Linked DNA regions of Macaca fascicularis. The protein of the gene in region 2 interacts with the protein of the main gene of each other region in a biochemical or structural test. Links are inferred from orthologs where the notes say so. Each region holds a gene or a part of one and is shown on either strand. Other genes may lie near its edges.

Region 1 (4,400 bases), on a different chromosome or scaffold from region 2:
TTTCCATGCCATTTAGTTGGATTCTAGTCTCTTTTTACTTATAATGTTGAGTGTGAGTTTGAAATTATATATATTGAATTTAATTAAAGTGAAAGATGAGAATTAAAGGAAATCTATGAATGTCAAAATAATTTTGAAACTCGTTATGTGAAGAAGCAATTAAAGTTTACTTGAAAAAAAATAACAGATGAAGACTTAAGAGACATCTGCCCAATAAAATGAATATTGTGAAAGCTCTATGATAAGCTCAAATGAAGAGTAATTCTCTAAATATGTGAGAGTAATTCTCCATGTAAGTTGGAGCTCACCCCATTGAGACCTTTCTTCACATCATGGTTCATTTAAAACAAGTGGAGATTTTAAAAGTATTTCAACTTAGAACTAATGAGAAAATCTGATTTCAGTCTTCACTGCTACACAATTCAGTATAAAGTACATACAATTGGCTAAATGACATGACAAACTCGAATGCCCTTAAAATACAGCTTGCTTCTAATCACTGATAGTCCAAAGAGAATTGCATAATTCTTTTAAAACTGCCCAACTCTCGCCAGAGTGAGTGGATTAAATACAACTAAACTTGCTCAAAAATCTGCAAGATGGTGGTGTTCTGAAGAAAACGATGGCCATGATCTGAACAAAGAACCGACTAATAACCTAGGAAATTTAAAATTAATTGCAAACACATAGCTTTAGCCATCTGCTTTACAATAATTTACCTTGTTGATACATCTTACCTGCTGAAAATCTCAACTTTGTTGTGAAATGCAACTTTAGTCACTGTAGGACATGCAACTTTAATTATTGTAGGACACTTGGTTAATTGTGGTGAAAGGAAACTACTCAAACATTATTTGCCATAATTTTAGTATTGAAAGTTAGAATAAGAAGAAAAAGTGGAAAAAGAGTTAATTATTCTGAACATGCAGCACATACCTATTAAGGCTCATCTTCATAGAAAGATGTGGTCAATATAGAAGACTTTAGGTATAATGAGTTGATTAGGGGCGCATGAAAAGTCCAACTAGACTCTAACACTTAATAAATGTATGACCTTGGGTAAGTTATTTTGCCTCTCTGTGCCTGGATTTTCTCACCTGCAAAAGTTGTTTATTAATATTATCTACCCCCCTGGTGGTCTAAGAATTAAGACGGTGAATCAATCTAAACCATATAGAACCGTGGAACATGTGGAACACTTTTTTCCTAAAGTTTCCACCTTTGGAATAAGCAAAAGAAAAAAAACCATTATTTTTTTAAAGAAATCAGTAACTGTACACTTCAACAGTACAAGTATCTCTTAGATTAGAAAGGAAACACAAGCACATTAAATGCCAAGTGATGACATATAACAGGAAAACATAAGCATCAACTTAAAAGACAATTTTTAGAGTAAGAACCTAAAGCATGGTAAGCTTCACTGCAAGGTACATCCAATATCTGCGCCTCCCTCTGCCCCCTCCCTGCCAAGTTCTACAGTTATCTTCCCAAAGTCATACCCTAAGCCTGCCAAAGAGCAAAGTTTTACCATCAAGTCCCAGGAGTGGTACCACTGATTCCCAGCCCCGGGGTCGCCACCCCCTTCTCTCTTTGGCTTTGGTCTTTTGACAGACACCTCTCTCCACCTCCCACTCCGGATAACAGAAGGAACCTCCCGCCTGCCCTCTGTCCAGCAGAAAACTTCGAAGTGGGCAACAGGCTATAAACGCCGAAGACACTCACCCCCGTCCCCACCCGTCCCCGCCGCCCCCCGTCCCCAGGGCCCAGAGCCCACTCCCACTCTGGCATCGGCCCGGGCACCGCAGTGCATTGCAACACGAGAGGACGCCGCTGGCTGCAAAGGAAACCATCGCGGATGTCCCGGTCAATACCCCTCAGACTGTTCCCCGACGTGAGTATCATCCCTAATGGAGGTAGACACGCCACCTCCCACCAGCTCAGCACGCGAGGATGACCAAGAGGGCAGCGACCACAACAAAAACAACTCAACCCGCGACGCGAGGGAGCCAGCTGCCATCGCCACCCCCCGAGCGGCGCCGCGGCAGCAGCGGGGGCTGCGGCGCTGCGGGGGCCTTCGAGGGCGGCGGCGATTTACCTGCGCGGCCCCGCGCCCCCAGGCCGGACATCCTGCAGCAGCCGCTACCGCCGCCCCGCGGGCCCGAGGCGCCGCCCGCCGCCCGGGGAGGCGCCGCGCCGCAGTCCTGGCTGCGGCGCCCGGCACATGCTTCGCGCTAGCCGCGGCCGGCGCCGGCGCACAGGTGGGAACCCCGCGAGTGGGCGTTGAGGCGAATCCCTGCCCCCGCCGGCGCTCTCCGCCCGCTTCCACTCTTGACTTTGGTCGGTGTGCGGCGCCTGCCCTTGCTCCAGCGCCGAGCCGCCTTTGCCCGCGCCCCGGCGCCGTGGGCGGCTGCGGTCCCTGCGCATTCGGGGCTGCGCGTCATGTGCACCTCCCGCCCCGCGGCGGGCCCCGCTGCACCGGGCGGCCGTGGGCAGCGCGGCAGCCCGGCCTCGCGCCCACTCCTCGCCCGGCACACGGACCTCCTCCACCCCCGCGCCCTCCCCCACTCTGGAGCTGTCAAGGAAGAAAACGCCTTGCACACACCTTGGAATGGACGGGCGCTTCAGTCACCGACTCGCCAAACTCTTAGAAGGCGTCCATTGGTCTGCAGGGAGGTTTGAGCCTGGAGTAGGAGCCGCTTTCTTATTATTTAATAATGTTGGAAGTGCCGGGTCCGCTGCCAGAGTTGTGGGTCATGTGGGCACAGCAGAGGCTGGCTGCTGCCAGTACCAGGGTTTCCTGAGGATCCTGAAACTATGATCTCATCCTCCTCATCCGCCTCCCCCGCCCCTCTCTCCGCGGGCGCGCACGCACAGCACACACACACACACACACACACTCTCACACTGAATGCACTATCCTCCTTCCTGGACCGAAATATTCCTCTAGGGAAATAGTGGGCACGCTCATCATTGAAAAAAAAAAAAAAAAGAAAAAGAAAAAAAAGAAATCCTTCCAGATAGAGATTTTTCTCTTCCAAAGCTTGATTTATGTGCTTTGTTTATTTCCTCCAGTTTTCCCTCACACGTGCAGGAGATGGGAACAGAGACTCAGAATTAAAATTAAAAATAATTATTCTCTTATGTTGACCCAGATTTTGGTCAGAACCCAAGAACTTAAACAGTACAATTTCAATTTAAAACAGAGGCAAAATATACCAGGCTTGAATATGGAATATTCTTAGATGTATGCAGTGGGTTTCTTTCCCAAGCTGCAAACATTCCCCAAACATTACCTCATTTATTTGCAGAGCATCTTTGCAGAGGAGGTAGATGAAAAGGCAAATAGTATTGTCACTTCAGAGACACAGAAGCATAAGTAAGATAACATGACCTACCCAAGTACACATAATAAGTCAATATCTCACTATAAATATTAATTGCACAGCTACTCACAGGTTGCTTTTTCACTGTAATCAATTCTCAGATACTTAGGTTACTGAAAATAATGAAAACATTGTTGATTATTTTTAAGTTACCGAGACTGAAAATTATTTTTTCTTACTATATGTATGTTTTCATATAATTTTCTCTAGTATTGTATTTCCAATTTCACGTTTTCATATAATTTTATTTCTTTTTGGGGGAATGTGTTGTGTGTATGCATGTGTATGCGTACATTTATATCCAGTTGCATTGTTTAAATGCTTAGATAGTAATTTCTAGCAAATTGAGCCAATGTTTCTGAAGTAGTCACCAATTTCATAATTTGTATATGTCATTGAAACCCTTTTCACCTGGTGTATATGAAGAGCTATGCTACATTTTGAAGGACATAAAGAAGTTTAATACAAGTACTTTTTAGTTTACATCTAGTTGTTGAGACAAGATACATATACGGAATGACTGCAGATAAAAATCTTTGTTATTTTGGTGTTGTGAGTTATCACAAAGAAAGCACAAGATACTTTTATTTTCTTTTTACTTAATTTCTCTTCCATGTTAAAATCATCTCATTTGCCTATGTGCCCTATATTTCAGTCTTGTCATTAACCCTCCTACCTTCTAAATGGCCAACGTAATTATGTGTAACCTTGCCCTTCTCTTACACTTTCACCATACTCACATAAACAGTAAATGGGGAATGATTTATATTGTAAAAGTTCTCAGAAAGAACACTCTTGGGTAGCTTCTTTTCAGTGTAGATAAGAAATTCGAGCAGCTAACTAGCCTTCTAATAACCCAAAAAGAAAACAAATAGTATGAAAGAGAGAATGGTCAGAGAAAAGGCAGAAGAGAAAGGAGTCAAGAGGGGGGAAAAGGAGGGGGAATGAAGTTACAAGATAAGAAAGTAAAGAAGAGAAGGAAACAAAAGGAGAAGAAAAAGAGGATCAACTTTCATG
Region 2 (4,158 bases):
AACATATATACGCATACCAAAATATTGTATTTCTCATATGTGTGATGAAATAAAGAATAAATTGATGAAAGAGTATGATAAATCATTTTTAATAAGTTAGGAAAATATTACAATAGAAAGTGGGAGGAGAAGGAAAGTTTGGGAAATCAGTTTGTTTTACTCTTGAGATAAAATTTTGATGAAAGATAATAAAATAGAATTTTGAAAAACACCTGATGTTTCCAAGGCAATGATTTTAATCTCTTTTATTAAACTACACAAGTGGTTAAAAACTTGACAATTTGTTTCATATATAGCAAATGACGTGGAGTACAGGGATTTCAAATGAATGCTATAGGAATAAAGAGGAAGCTGTATTAATATCTCTGCCCAAATGATGAATTTGCAATTCAGTACTGTCTAGCTAGAAGTGTCAACCAACACCTATTTCCCCTTAAATAATGTAATTATGCATAAAACACTTTGTAGTCTTTTTTAAAGTTTAGAATAACATCTATATGACATACTCTGTTGTATTTTTCATAATGTTATGCCATGTAAGATACACCAAAACTTTGTATTAACAGTATATCATCAATTTAGATCAGCGATCTCTTTTTCATAGTTAAGATGTCTTTAAAAGATTCTGCAAATGAAATTCTAAAAGATGATTTTGTTAGACCTCAAGATGACTTACATCATTTAAATATATTCAAATGAAATATCTATTTGCCATACACTATTTGAATAATTCTTTACAATGCATTATTTGAGTAATTCTAAAAGTAAACAATACAATGTGTTTGACAATACAGTGATCTCTTTTACAGAGTAACTATTCTGTTTAAAAAACAAAATGTACTTTTATAAGTTTTTCAAACTAAGGCGAATTTACAAACCAGATTCAAATGTCAGACATCCAAATAGTAGTATATTGTCAAGCAACAAAATTTAATGTATAATATAGCCCTGAGTATATCTCCATTTTCCTTAACAAACTCATTGTCATGTTGCATAGGCATTACTTGATGATTTTTTAAATGCAGTGTGAAAAAATCCTACAGGACATGTTCCAAAAAGATTACCTTCCTTCACATTCGAAGAACTGAAAGTTTTTCAACTATCTATGACAAAGCAGAGGATAGGTTTACCTTGCTTCATTCCAGCAGAATTGCATATATTCTTTCAAAATTGCTCTATATACTGGTATATGTGGTTAATTATATAGAATATATATATATATATAAAATCACTAGCGATTTTGATAGTATTTATATTACATATATCAAAGAAATAAAAATGATAAATAAAAATATGTGTATATGTGTATATTGCAAACAACAGATATATGCCATGCATATTTTTGTAATGATAGTAAATATAATAGTTTTTCAATCTAAAAGCAATAATGATACTCACCAAAAGAAATTTATGAAGCAAGCAAACAATGTAACTAAATGTTGTATTATAAAATCTGGTAGCTTTTAATGTGACTCAATACATGGACAATGTTAACTTATTTCCACAAATTTTTCACAGTGGTAAAACGTCTGCCTTTTTTTTTTTTTTTTTTAGTAGTTGTGGAGCATTACTTATTTGGAGAGACTTATTTTTTCATTCTTAATTATAGGCATCGCTCTCATATCTATTTTAGAATAACTATACTCCACAAGTCAAAGATAGGTGGGGAAGAGATAAACTCCCATCTTTTTGGGACACACAGTCCTTATCATATATTATTTTTACTGTTGTGCCACAGTCCATTTTTAAATCCTTCAATAGTCATCATGACTTTCTTAAAAATAAACAAAATAGTTGCATTTCTATATGGAAGACAAACTAAAAAATTGAACTGAAAAGCTAGCTCATGATAGACTTGAAACATCTACTAAATATAATTTACTACTAAACATAATTAGGAGTTCCTCAAGTTTGTATGTTGTTTTCCCAAGAGATCATCTGATCATTTGATAGCATAGATCACATCATTATTTGAAATAATCATCATGGTATGCTATAGAAAAGAGCATTTGAAATAGTAAATGTGAGAAAGCAACATTACAATTAAATCTTTATCAATACTTTTCACATCCTTCAATTTTCCATCCCAACTCATTTTATTCTTTATTTTCTCCATATGTCAGAGAAACTTCTCCTAACTTTTAGGCCTCCATGTAGTTCCTATACAGTAGTTAGTTCAATTGAGAATATATGTCAGGTCAGTAACCTTTATGTAACTGTTACTAAATACAGAAGTATCAACTAGTCAAAATAATAACTGAGATATACAAACTATCTCACAGCAATCAAAATAATCTGTTATAATCAAATGACATTCTGCATATTCTATTACTGCAGTGGCTTATTAATCAAGAAATCATGTGTTTAATTCTTCTGCAAAGAAAAACTTATAAACTCAATTTCTATTGAAAAGTTTTCCCAATGAAAAATATATATTCCTGAATAAATACATATATATATGCAGTATATATAACATTTATGCTTCTTTGCAAACTACTGTGATAATTTAAAATCAATCTACCTAATTAGTGAGTTTGTCACAAACTAAACATTATGCCACAGTAAAATACATTTTTAGTTACTTTGTACTTACAACAGTCCTCTACTTCTTCCCACCAAAGCATTTTGAAAAGTGTATATCAAGGCAGCGATTAAAAAAACCTGGTAAAGGTTCTTCAAACTTTATTGCTCCAGTAGGCTTAAAAACAATGAGAAACCAACAAACTTCAGCAGCTTTAAAAAAATAACACTTCAGTTTTTCCTATTCATTTTTCTCTGAAGGTAATTGCCTCTAAGATCTGAGTCCCGTAGGGGGAAAGTGAGTGATCCCAACACTGAGTGAGTCAACACAGTAACTGATGCCAGGATTCTGTAGAGGCCCCTGGATATTTCAAATTCCAGGACCTGCGCACAAGCAAGTGACCCGCCTTCTCTCTCAAGTTGGTTTCCCATAATAGGACTGTCCATGGTCACTACATATAAGGTTGTGCTTCCAGCATGGCAAGCTCTGTGAATTCAAATAATGCTCAACTGTGTTCTGATTAATATCCAAACCAGAATAGCACAGTGGACATAGTACTAGCTTTTAAAGCCTTCCAAACACAAAAACTATTCAGTACAAAACCATAACAATATTTTCTGTAACTTTCATGTGAATTTATAACAGAGCAGAAAATCCCGATTTAAAATTGACTTTTAAATGCCTTTTTTATCCTCTCAACAACACCAAAAATTTCACTCTACCAAATAAAAAGAAATGCCCAGAATAATCTATGCATTTGTTATGTATCCACTGCCTACCAAAGTTATTTTTTCCCCTTGAGATTTTTGATTGCAAAAGTCATGTATTGATGATGCCAACAGTCTGAATAAGAGAAGCAGCAGCAGAACACAGCAGCTGAATTCTGAAGGCAGAATGTGTGTGTAGGTCTCATGGGACATGTTTTCCTGCTAAAATAAAGAATATTCTTATAATGGAGCAAAGACATTTTTCTCAAATCCTAAATTTCAGTTGTGAATTATGATAAAACTTCTTTACTAACAAATTATTCTTTCTTCCATTTCTCTGCTGCCAATTCTTAAAACACCATTTTCTTAGACATTGAGTTAATGATCATTTAATGGTTCTGAATGCAGGCTCTTTTTTTTCTGTATTAAGTGAATGCAGTTGTATTATGTCATTCAGCATGTAAATCATTCTTTGCCAATAGAAGTCTTCTTCATCTTGTTCCTTATTACTTTTATGCAACAGGCGAGCCCCAAATTGATAGAAAACATTGGTAGCATTTTTTAAAGAAAGATATTCTTTTTATAGTTATAATAATCCCTACTAAAATTTTTGTTTGAGTGTTTTTATTGTACCATTTGTTAAAGTGACAGACTCATTTTTCTATGTCAAACATTCAACTGCTTGCGACTGAAATGAGTAATAGACAAAAATAAAAAAAAATTATAGAGTCAGACTGTGATGTTTACCTTAATAGTTAATTATACATTTTGCGTTTTAGAATATTATTGTCATAACATGGCTATTTTCCCCAGCAAAATGTGTATGAGATAAAACATAAGGCTTAATTTTAATTGAAAACATTCTTTTCCCTAGGTCACCTCCTTTCCTCTGTGTGGTTGTCTAAATATGCATATAAGCAAAATTTTCAT
Region 3 (3,650 bases), on a different chromosome or scaffold from region 2:
GTCCCAGCTACTCGGAAGGCTGAGGCAGAAGAATTGCTTGAACCCGAGAGGTGGAGGTTGCAGTGAGCTGAGATCTTGCCACTGCACTCCAACCTGGGCAACAGAGTGAGACTCCATCTCAAAAAGAAAAAAAAAAAAAGTCAGGCACGATGGCTCACGCCTGTAATCCTAGCACTTTGGGAAGCCAAGGCAGGTGGATCACAAGCTCAGGAGTTTGAGACCAGCCTGGCCAATATGGTGAAACCTCATCTCTACTAAAAATACAAAAATTAGCCGGGCATGGTAATGGGCGCCTGTAATCCCAGCTACTTGGAAAGTTGACGCAGAAAAATTGCTTGAACCCGGGAAACAGAGGTTGCAGTGAGCCGAGATCATGCCACTGTACTCCAGCCTGGGTGACAGAGTGAGACGCCACCTCAAAAAAAAAAAAAAAAAAAAATTAGCCAGGCATGGTGGCATGCATCTGTAGTCCCAGCTACTCAGGAGGTTGAGGTGGGAGGATTGCTTGAGCCCCGGCGGGTGGAGGGTACATTGAGTCAAGATCATACTACAGTACTCCAGCCTGGTGACAGAGCAAGACCCTGTCTCAAAAAAAAAAAAAAAAAACAAGAAAAAGAAAAATGTATCCATGACATTTAAATAGATATACCTAAAATATAAAATAAAACAAAAACGAATGGGAATTGAGGTCTGGGGCCACAAGAAGGCCAAAGATCAATCAAGGACTCAGAACCTATTTGCTTCTGTGGCCTCTTGGACACTCCTTTAGGGAAACCAAGGCAACCCACCAGGATTTGGGCCTGGGACTCAACTCAGCAGCTTCTCTGGCCGTGTTATTCTCCATCAGCCCCCGCCACCTCCGTGTGTCTGTTCTGGGCCATAAGCCAGAGACACATTCCTCAGGCCTCCACTGGCTTCCAGAGCTGACAGAGTTTGAGGAAAGGGCTGAGCAAAGCAGAAACCTCTTGAGAGACATGGCACAAGATGGTCGTGGGACAACCTCAGCAGGAGGCCTATAACAACTGATGGGGAAGCTGAGGCCCACAGAGGGCAAGTGTCCCACCCAAGACCACACTGTGAGGGAAGAGTGGAGAAAGTCATCCAACAAGGTTCCACCACAAAACTCCTCTCTGATCATCGCTGGAAGGATCTGATGTCCTGCTCTATAAAAGCCAAGGCTTCCAGATGTGGCAGCTCATGCCTGTAATCCCAGCACTTTGGGAGGCCGAGGCAGGTGGATCACCTTAGGTCAGGAGTTCAAGACTAGCCTGGCCAACATGGAAAAACCCTGTCTCTACAAAAATACAAAAATTAGCTGGGCATGGTGATGCACACCTGTAATCCCAGCTACTTGGGAGGCTGAGGCAGGAGGATCACTTGAACCCAGAAGGCAGAGGTTGCAATGAACCAAGATCATGCCACTGTATTCCAGCCTGGACAACAGAGCAAGATTCCATCTCAAAAAAAAATAAAGTAAAATAAAAGCTGAGGCTTCTCCCAAAGGAAGATGGGTCTTAGGGTTTTAAGGTCCAGGAACCAAAAGAACCTGAAGTCAAGAGCTCTCCAGGCCCCAAAGGAAATAATCTGAGCTGCCCCTTCCCCAGTCTGCACCCCTCTCTCCCTGTGTCACTCAGGGGCTGGCACACTTTGCCATGTACCTTTTTGCCCTAGTCGCAACAACCCAGAAAGGCAGGAGCTACATCCCCGTTTTACAGATGAGGAAACTAAGGCTCAGGGAAATGAAGTGACTTGTCCAGGGCCACACAGCTAGTGACTGGAAGACAGAAAATGCAAACCAGTTCTGCTTAGCTCTGTGCCAGCTCTCCCTCCACCACCCCACGCTGTCTTCAGGCAGGTCCCTAAGTTCTGTTTCTATTTTCAATCCTGCCCATCTCCCAGCCCCCAGTGCTGGGCTGGGGCCTCTTGAGGCCTGGGGGAGGTAGGGAAGCAGTGGAACATGTCCACCCGGCCCGTCTGGACCCTGGAACGTCCGTGCTTACCCTCCAGCACCACCTCCTTGCCTGTCTTCTTGAGGGCCTGCACCGCCTCATCATGGGTAGCAGAGGACAAGTCTTCCCCATTCACGGACAGGATGGCATCCCCCACATAAAGAGCCTCTGTCTGGTCAGCTGCCAATCCCTTGAAGATCTTGGAAATGAGAATAGGCATCTTGTTCTCCCGGCCGCCTGCATAGGCACAGAAGGAGGACAAGACTGAGGCAGATACTCCGACAATTGGGAGTTGCATCGAGGCACAATTATTTCTGAAGGCTTCCCTTGGTGCCTAGCCCCGTGCTGGAAAACGGAATAGGAGAATAAAGGGAATCTGAGAAACGTCTTGGAAGTTTGGGACACTAGTAATACTAATAGTACATCATTTTCGATCAGGTTCGGTGGCTCATGCCTGTAATCCCAGCACCTTAGAAGGCTGAGGTGGGCAGATGACCTGAGCTCAGGAGTTCAAGATCAGCCTGGGCAACATGGCAAAACCCCGCCTCTACTCAAAATAAAAAAATTAGCCAGGCGTGGTGGCAGGCACCTGTGGTCTCAGCTACTAGGGAGGCTAAAGTAGGATTACTTGAGCCCAGGAGGTCGAGGCTACAGTGAGCTGAGATTGTGCCACTGCACTCCAGCTTGGGTGGCAGAAGGAGACCCTGTGTCAATAAACAAATTAATTAATTAAATGAATCATTTTCAAAATTCATAATGCTATAGTTTGATCCCTGGATCTTTTGATTAAGTGCTTTGGGTGTTCACTAGTGTTTGTGCAACTTACAAAGTGCTTCAATCACTTTTTCTTAAATATTTTGGATTTTCTCATGTACCCCATAAATATATACACCTACTATGTACCCACAAAAACTAAAAATGAAAATAACCAGATAAAGTGGCTCACGCTTGTAATCCCAGCACTTTGGGAGGCCAAGGCGGGCAGATCACTTGAGGCCAGTAGTTTGAGACCAGCCTGGCCAACATAGTGAAACCCTGCCTCTACTAAAAACATAAAAAAGGGCCAGGTGTGGTGGCTTATGCCTGTAATCCAGCACTTTGGGAGGCCAAGGCTGCCGGGTGGATCACCTGAGGTCAGGAGTTCGACACCAGCCTGGCCAACATAGTGAAATCCTGTCCCTACCAAAAATACAAAAAATTAGCTGGGAGTGGTGGTGGATGCCTATAATCCCAGCTACTCGGGAGACTGAGGCAGGAGAATCGCTTGAACTGGGAGGCTGAGGTTGCAGTGAGCCAAGATTGCACCATTGCACTGTAACCTGGACAATAAAAGTGAAATTCCATCTCAAATAAATAAATAAATAAATAAATAAATAAATAAAAACACAAAAAATTAGCTGGGCCTGGTGGCACACGCCTGTAGTCCCAGCTACTCAGGAGGCTGCGGCAGCAGAATCGCTTGAACCTGGGAGGTAGAGGTTGCAGTGAGCCAAGATCACACCACTGCACTCCAGCATGGGTGACAGAACAAGACTCCGTCTCAAAATAAAATCAAAATACAAAAATTAGCCAGGCATGGTGGGTGTGCCTGTAATCCCAGCTACTCAGGAGGCTGAGGCACGAGAACTGCTTGAACCCAGGAGGTGGAGGTTGCAGTGAGCCGAGATTGCGCCACTGCACTCCACCCTGGACAACAGAGCA

The links.
Region 1: the proteins of DMD (region 2) and DTNA form a complex in vitro, tested with the Homo sapiens proteins (3 studies listed by BioGRID and IntAct, with this or other methods). The link is inferred for Macaca fascicularis from reciprocal best matches to the Homo sapiens genes DMD and DTNA.
Region 3: the proteins of DMD (region 2) and SNTA1 form a complex in vitro, tested with the Homo sapiens proteins (2 studies listed by BioGRID, with this or other methods). The link is inferred for Macaca fascicularis from reciprocal best matches to the Homo sapiens genes DMD and SNTA1.

What each region holds. Positions count from the first base shown.
Region 1 is NC_088392.1:55,350,946-55,355,345, forward strand, and holds the start of DTNA (dystrobrevin alpha), read right to left. Parts: upstream 2,817-4,400; 5' UTR 2,603-2,816; intron 1-2,602. UniProt on the Homo sapiens protein: May be involved in the formation and stability of synapses as well as being involved in the clustering of nicotinic acetylcholine receptors.
Region 2 is NC_088395.1:33,307,088-33,311,245, forward strand, and holds the start of DMD (dystrophin), read right to left. Parts: upstream 2,861-4,158; 5' UTR 2,625-2,860; coding exon 2,594-2,624; intron 1-2,593. UniProt on the Homo sapiens protein: Anchors the extracellular matrix to the cytoskeleton via F-actin. Ligand for dystroglycan.
Region 3 is NC_088384.1:89,447,788-89,451,437, forward strand, and holds part of SNTA1 (alpha-1-syntrophin), read right to left. Parts: intron 2,187-3,650; coding exon 2,001-2,186; intron 1-2,000. UniProt on the Homo sapiens protein: Adapter protein that binds to and probably organizes the subcellular localization of a variety of membrane proteins. May link various receptors to the actin cytoskeleton and the extracellular matrix via the dystrophin glycoprotein complex.